Linked DNA regions of Struthio camelus. The protein of the gene in region 1 binds, or shares a complex with, the protein of each later gene. Links are inferred from orthologs where the notes say so. Each region holds a gene or a part of one and is shown on either strand. Other genes may lie near its edges. The genes, in order: THOC1 and THOC7.

Region 1 (3,908 bases):
GCAACCAAAGTTACTCTGATGGATCACCTTCTTCCTTCATCTGACAGAAAGCAGAAATACTAAGGAATCTATTTGTGACATACCATGCATCGATTTACAAAAGAAAATATATTAACAACTTACCCATATTACCTAGTAGATTATCATACCTCAAATTAGGGCTAATGGTATGCAGAAAATAACACTTCCAAGTGAAATATAAAGGAGCATGCTATTATGGCTGATGCTGCACCTAGAACAGTTGAAAGGTCCATACACAAACTTTCACCTGCCAGACAGGCAACTCATGGTGGTTTAAAAACATTACTTCTGTTAGCAAGCTGGTCTAAAAATTCCCTGTAATGAAATCAATATAACGGAATAACTGCCTGTGCCTCAACTATTTCTGTACAAATCTCAACACCTTACTTTGAAAGTCCAATAAATTGCACCACCACTTGAGTACACATCCAGCTCAGTCTGCTCTAGTAAGGAAAAAGCATCATTCAGTCGAGGCGCAAAGGAGATAAGGGCGACAAGCTGTGGCATGTTTTACTGCAAACGTTGAGTTACATCAGATTTTGATTTAATTTTAAATTAATTTTAGCTAACTAAACCACGGATACTATTCTCATTTTAGCTCACCTAGTTAGGCTAAACTGGTACGAAAACTCCTGCCCAAAAATTTATACCACTGAGTTTAGCACTCATTACATGAAAACACAGTTTCCTCTTCAGAAAGATATCCCAGCTATAACGGGTTGCTACAGTACTTAGAACACAGCTGAAGTTTTGCCACAGGCCTACCGTGCCTAACACATGCTCTACTGGACTTAAGCATCATTCAGCTGCATCTGTTATAAACATTCGAATTTTTGTTCTGCTGTTAGCTGCTGCTGTGCAGACTTTTTGCAGATAGAGGATTCTTCTGTATGAAACTGATATTGATAAAAAACCTGGATATGCAACTAGGACAAGGTGAACTGAAACTAGGAGACTTTTACTGTCATATCATGCATAACCTGACAAGGCCTATCATGCATTAGCATGATAGCATAAACACAGGTTAATGGGAGTTAATGCTCACAAAGAACAGCACTAAGACGGTAAACTCACTCAAGAACAGGAAAGGGAAGAACCATCTGTCAAGATCCCCTCTCCCCCACCAGAGAGAACACAGCACTGGGCCACTGATTTGTTCAGTCTTAGTGAATCAGCAATCGGGTGCGGTAGGCAATGGTGTGAGGTATCAACTTGTATGTTACGTTATACAAAAGCATAGCAAAACTTAAGTTCATTAATATAGATTTCTAATGTCCTTTCTTCTGCCCTTTACATTTGTCTTGACCTCATAAAACTAGCACTCTTGTTGTCATAACATTACTACGTGCCTTTATAACACTGTGAATGCAGTGAAAGTTTTCTCTCTCTCTCCAGCTAGTCAAGTTTATCTCTTTGCATCAAAGACCAAAGAAGTAAAGTTTGTACACTTTCCTCCAACTTCCTTCATGCCAGCAAAAAAAAAAAATTGGCATACACGTCAAGTCAAACTCTCCCCTGCACTCCATTCAGGTCCATTCATGCAGAAGGGAGGGCAGGTGAGTTCAGCCTTCAACGTGGTACTTTCCTCCATCCAGCTGCACACCTGAGCCCCGAGCATCCGTTTAACCTGCCGCTGTCTCACTGCTGCTCCCCCTTTCCTCAACCCCTGTTCACTTGGGAAACCCAAACGAGCCCAGAAAACTCGCTGGGCACAGCCTCCCTTCTCCTCCCACGCTCATGACTCTACACTGGGACGCTGGGCAGCGCTGAGAGGCTCCTGGAGGGACTGCCAGACCCTTGGGAGACAGGAGGGAGCGTGGCGCGCGCCCCAGCGGGCCGTTGGAGGCGGGTAACGGCCGGCCGAGGGAGCGCGGCGGGCTCGGCGCGCGCCCCAGCGGGCCGTTGGAGGCGGGTAACGGCCGGCCGAGGGAGCGCGCGGGGCGACTGGCGGAGAAGGCGCGCGCCGCCTGCACACAGCCCGGCAAAGGCGGTGCGGTGCGGTGCGCGCGCCGAGGCGGAAAGAGAGGGGGAGGGGCGGCGCGCCGAGGCCGAGCGGCTACACCGTCGCGAAGCGGCCGGCCCTACCGCCCGGCCGGGCTCGGACCCGCTCCCGGATGGCGGGAGAAGGGGCGAGAAGCTCCGGCCGAGCCCGCGCCGCCGCCGCGCTCACCGTGAACCGGAGCCGAGCTTCGGGCAGGCTGAAGAGCGGCGGCGACATCGTCCCGGCCGTCCGACGCTCCCCGGCGCGCGCTGATGACGCCATCGTCCCCTTCCCCCCCCCAGCCGGCGAGAACCACGGCGAAGCCCCCGCTCCCGCCCACTCGTGACAGGGGTGGGGGGGCTGCCCGTGGTGGCGAGGCCGCGGGCGCCCGTGGGCGGTGCCGGCAGGTCACCCTCGCCTCACGCCTGACTTTAGCGTCATGAGGGTCCTGGCGTGGGCCGGCCGTGGGGGGGGGCGTGGCCGTGGGGGGCTGGCTTTGCTGTCGGGTGGGGCGGTGGGTTACGTCCCCTATGTGACTCGGCGCTTTTTTAAAAAGCATGCAGTCAAAGAATAGTTATGCAAAGAAGGAGAACGTTTCTGATAACCTGTATCACTCCAGAGTCAACACTTTCATCTGGTGAATGAGTCATTTCTGAGCGATCTCTATCTGGGTGAAAATAACCCTTACGTCTTCTGAGGAAGATACATGAATTTTAGGTTATTCGTTCTTCATTCTGAGGTGAAAAACAATTTAGGAACTTCCCCCCCCCAACACAAACTCTTCCTTTGTTGCTTCGTTTGAGTAATTAGGATCTCAAAGGAAGCGGAAAATATTATTGCACAAATTGGCATTATGATCATCATTAAGCATGCAAAATTAACATGGCCTGTAACAGTTTGTCACGTTATCCCAAAAGTTCTGCCACTTTATGCTGAAGGAAGCTGAAAATACCTGTTTCTGTACCTATTCGATCTATAAATGGACCTTAGTTGAGTATTCCTTCTGTCTTTTCCAGTGCTGGTGGGATCCTTAGAGCCCCGTGTAGCACTTGTAAGGAAGCTACTGGGTTTTGCAATCTGCCTGACATGTGAACAAGAGGGCAGTGAGTTGGTGTGTCTCCCACCATGCACTCCTGGGCCACATCCCATTTCAGCAGCATGTCAAGCTTCGCAGAGGCTGAATGTGTTACTGAACATCCCGTTAGTAGGATGTTGTCAAAATAAAAACAACTGTAAAAGGTTAACGTGCAGGGAAGGGGGTTTTCAGGTAATGAAGTTGTGTTACTTTTTCTAATAATGACATCAGAGTCACAATCTACCGTCACGTTCAAAGTATCGTTGAAGGAAGAGTAACATTAAATATAACTCAGAATTTTTTATGTCATTGGTAAAATTGCCTCAATGATAACTCATAGGTTGAACAATATTCTCCAGCTACATTTTTGAGAATCACTTTTAATGGGAGTTTACTGAGTGTTTCATAGGTAAATGTCTGAAATAGCCCTGCACAAATTAATAAATATTTATTTCGACATGTATCTTTTTCAGTGTGGCTCAATGCCTTTAAGTACTTTACATTTTCTAGCTATCCTAAGTAATGGTAGTTCCCAAGCTTGGCTGTTCACAATCCATTTCCAGGCTTGGGATCCCTCTCCCATTTGCATTTCCAGGCTCACAACTACTAGTTGGGAAACCTTGTTATGTGATATGCAGCCATAAAACCCTCCCAAATGTACTCCTATCTATCCTTTCTTAGGATGCCCAGGTGCACTTCAAAGCTAACTGGAGATACGGTTTTCTCCCATCACTTCTTGATCCTGCATTCTCTTCTGCTGGCAAAGCAGAAGCATCTGACTCCCCTTCCTGACAGAAAAAAACTTTGCTCGTACCAGTGCTGAAATTCCAA
Region 2 (3,908 bases), on another chromosome or scaffold:
ATATATTTTAAAAGGTAACAAAATAAGCAAACTGCTCAGTGAAAATACAGATATTGCTCCTTACCCTGGCGATTTTTTCGAATCCTTTTTGCTTGCAGGATTTGCTTTTTGCATTCAGAAATCTTCTCGTGTGCTGCAGCTATACTATTTTCTTTAATAAAAAGAATACAGAATTATACTGAAATCAAACAATACATGTCAACAAACCAATCTGCTGCACTACAAAAAGGCAAAGAGCCATTTGTGACATGGTGGCTTCTTAGCTCCATCAGCTTCAAAATTACACATACTTCAATGGGTTTAAAAAAAACTTTACTTGCATGTATTTTAGATACTGACAAGATGCTTAGAGCTTTTGTATCAGTGTTATCTTAAAAAAAATAAATCTTTCATCATATTCATATATTAGTTTCACCAGCACTGGCTCAAGCTTCCTCACACTAGAGAAATAGTCCAACAGAAAACAGTAATATCTGTTACCTATATCTTTGTAGATTTTTTCATAATTCTCCATTTCTCGCAGGTTCATATCATACACGAGAAGAGTTTTTCCCATTGAAAATTCACACTGTGATAAAGTACTCAGCATTCGTTGGTACTGGCTGTAACTGAAAGCAGACAAGATAGTTATTCCTAAGCAGCATAAAACAGTCACCTACCTTTATAAAGCAAGAAGCCAAAGCCTGCATGAGTAATTTAAGCAACAGTTAAATAACAGCAATTATTAAACAAATAAAATTCCAAAGACTCAATGTATAATTTTTGAAAGTGCAGTTAGAAACACTGCACCAACTAGTTCTATCACCATGCCCTTAAAGGTGCAAAGTGAGTATTAAAGCTATGGGCAGATTGATCCAGGGATTATAAACTTCCCAACTGGGGCAGGCTCTGCGCTCACCGAGATTAGTATTTTAATACTGTAGCACTCCTCTGTATATACGGCGACTTCCTGGAATTTATATCCAACAGTAGCAGAGACCTCACAATACAATACTACACTGTTGGTCAACTTTTACAACTCTGACCTGTTTTAAAAAGAAAAAAATGCAGCAGAAGACTAACGTTATTGTCCTTACCTAACAGGACAAACGCAGAACTGCCAGCTAAAACATTCAAGTCATGATCCTGTTACAGCACCGGGACTCTTGGGCCCGGATCACGAAGCAGCACTGGCGCTCAGTCATTTCTGAGCCGTCTCCTGCCCTGATGCTCGCTGTTTGTGCTGGGAGCACCGCAGAGCCACACTGACACGCACGGGTGCACATCTTAACAGAAGCGACTCCCCCCTCCACACACCCCCCCAAAACCCCAAGTTTATTCCAATTTCCATTTAAATGTACGCTGTTATTTCCCAAGACTGAAAACAGAAATACCCTTCCTCCTGGGATCCGGAGTTGCACCATTTAATGAAACTCTTCACCAGGAGGTTGATCCGCCTGTCATCACCCGCGCCATCGCCGTCGATGAGGAGCCGCTTACGGATCACTTCGTCTGGGGCGGGAAAAGGGGCCGTTTTTAACCGCCGGGCGGGAGGGCGGCGGGGTCCCGGCAGCCGGGGCCGGGCCTGCCTCCTGCCGCTGAACCAGGGCCGTCCGGGCGCTTTTCATTTACAAAGCGGGTGTTTTTGAGCGGGGGGGGGGGACGGAGCGGGGGCACATGGCGGGACAACGCCGCGGGTGGGCGAGCGCGGAGGGCCCGAGGCCGCCGTGAGGGGCCGGGAGCGGCGAGAGGGGCCGGGGGGCGGCGTGAGGGGCGCCACGATGGAGGGCCCGAGGCCGCCGTGAGGGGCCGGGAGCGGCGAGAGGGGCCGGGGCCGCCGTGAGGGGCCGGGGGGCGGCGTGAGGGGCGCCAGGATGGAGGGCCCGAGGCCGTCGTGAGGGGCCGGGAGCGGCGAGAGGGCCCGAGGCCACCGTGAGGGGCCGGGGGGCGGCGTGAGGGGCCGGGAGCGGCGAGAGGGCCGGGGGGCGGCGAGAGAACGAGGGCCGCGGGCCCGGGGATGGTGGCCGGTGCCGGCAGAGCGGCTCCCGCGCCTGGGGAGCGGCGCGGCGCGGCGGGCCCGGCCCCGGCCGAGGCGGCGCGGGGAGCGGGCCGGGGGACGGCGGGCAGCGGGCGGGCGGGAGGGAGGGAGGTCTCACCGTCGGTCACGGCCCCCATGGCGGCGAGCGGCGGAGCCGGCGGGGCGGCGGCAGCAGCGAGTGAGGTCAGCTTCCCACAATGCAGCCGGCGAGAGCGGCGGCCATGGAGGGGGAGGCGGCGGCGGCGGCGGCTGGGGCCTGAGCCGGCTGGCGGCGGACGCGCGGCCCGGCGGCGGCGGCGGAGGCGGCGGCGGCGGCGGCGGGGAGGGCCGGCGGGCGAGGCTCGCGCCCCGCGCGGAACCGGCCCCCTGGCGAGGGGCGGCCCCGCCAGGTGAGGGGCCGACGGGGGAGGGCAGCGGAGGTCCCCGCGCTCGCAGCCAGGCTCCTCCTCCCCGCCACCGCGCCCCCGGCCCCGCCGCCGCCGCCGCCCCCCGCCCGGCCCGGCCCGCCATGCCCGCGGCACATGCTCGCCCTCGCCCTCGAGGCGGCCCCGGCGGCGGCCACCCTCGCCTCGCCCGGCCTCGCCGCCCCGTCGGCCCCCGGCCCTGCTGCTCTGCTGCTGCCGCCGCTCCCCCGGGCTGGCGGCTCCCGCCCGGCCTCGGCCCCTCGAGGGCGGCGCTGGGCAGGGGGGCAGCCGTCGTGCCCGGCCTTGGACCGTTGAGGGCGTCACTGGGGAGGGGGGCAGCCGCCGTGCCCGGCCTCGGCCCCTCGAGGGCGGCGCTGGGGACGGGGGCAGCCGTCGTGCCCGGCCTTGGACCGTTGAGGGCGTCACTGGGGAGGGGGGCAGCCGCCGTGCCCGGCCTCGGCCCCTCGAGGGCGGCGCTGGGGAGGGGGGCAGCCGTCGTGCCCGGCCTTGGACCGTTGAGGGCGTCACTGGGGAGGGGGGCAGCCGTCGTGCCCGGCCTTGGACCGTTGAGGGCGTCACTGGGGAGGGGGACAGCCGCCGTGCCCGGCCTTGGACCGTTGAGGGCGTCACTGGGCAGGGGGACGGTGGGTATGCCCAGCCTTGGCCTCTCGAGGGTGGCCCTGGAGACAGGGACGGTGGCTGTGCCCGGCCTCGGCCTCTCCAGGGTGGCGTTGGGGAAGGGGACAGCAGGGATGGGGACAGCAACAGCTGGCAGCAGCCTGGTGCTTCCAGCAGAGCGGAGGCAGCATGTGGGGGCTGCGGCTCAGTGCTGGCCCCGTGCCGCGGTGGCTGTCCCACGCTGCGGCCACAGAGGCTAGGCCCTGGCAAAAACGACCGTCCTAATTGCCTTATTGGGGAGTTAGGCTATTAACAGCCCATAGTAGTAAGAGTTATTTCTTCCTTCCCTGAAAAATTAACCAAAACTGGCACTGGAAAAAAGGGATAGGGGTGTCTGGAGAAAAGAGATACTAAGGTGTTATTGGTATCAAGTGTTGAGTTTTAGCTTTTTGAACCGCAGGCTTTGACACCTAGGCAGTGCTGAAGTTGGCAACATTACTGTAACATATGTCATACTATAGTCATGATACGTGAGACGTCTGCACACCGTGGTACTCCCCCTTCGTTTTGGCTTGGACGCTAAGTAGTTTATTGACTTGTTCTGCTCCAAACATTTATTTTCCTGTCTCGGTCAGTGCTTTGTTTTGACAGTTTTAGGGATGTTTGGAAAATCAGTGTAGGAAAAGGACAAAGTCTGTGCACGCTATAATCTGTAGTTTGCTGGTTTAAGGCTGTGAGCCATCACAAGGTTCTTTTTGTTCTGGATAGTGGCATTTAACAGGTATTTACATACTGCTAGGTTGTTTGAAGCCAGTACTTTGTCTTCAGTAGTGACAACTGTCAGGGTCTCTGCAAGGTGCTACTGAGAA

What was found.
Region 2: the proteins of THOC1 (region 1) and THOC7 are in contact, whole or in part, in a cryo-EM structure (PDB 7APK), measured with the Homo sapiens proteins. The link is inferred for Struthio camelus from reciprocal best matches to the Homo sapiens genes THOC1 and THOC7. Residues at the interface, in NP_005122.2 of Homo sapiens: Leu10, Arg14, Glu46, Gln53, Arg56, Glu60, Ile63, Ile64, Asp99, Asp102, Cys103, Leu104, Pro105, Arg146, Gln151; in NP_079351.2 of Homo sapiens: Tyr47, Gln51, Leu54, Ser55, Ser58, Gln59, Phe62, Gly65, Lys66, Leu69, Val70, Met73, Arg76, Glu77, Asn80, Ile84, Ile88.

What each region holds. Positions count from the first base shown.
Region 1 is NC_090943.1:120,106,050-120,109,957, reverse strand, and holds the start of THOC1 (THO complex subunit 1), read right to left. Parts: upstream 2,485-3,908; 5' UTR 2,285-2,484; coding exon 2,192-2,284; intron 1-2,191. UniProt on the Homo sapiens protein: Component of the THO subcomplex of the TREX complex which is thought to couple mRNA transcription, processing and nuclear export, and which specifically associates with spliced mRNA and not with unspliced pre-mRNA.
Region 2 is NC_090955.1:12,527,518-12,531,425, forward strand, and holds the start of THOC7 (THO complex subunit 7 homolog), read right to left. Parts: upstream 2,325-3,908; 5' UTR 2,155-2,324; coding exon 2,136-2,154; intron 1,492-2,135; coding exon 1,374-1,491; intron 609-1,373; coding exon 481-608; intron 152-480; coding exon 65-151; intron 1-64. UniProt on the Homo sapiens protein: Component of the THO subcomplex of the TREX complex which is thought to couple mRNA transcription, processing and nuclear export, and which specifically associates with spliced mRNA and not with unspliced pre-mRNA.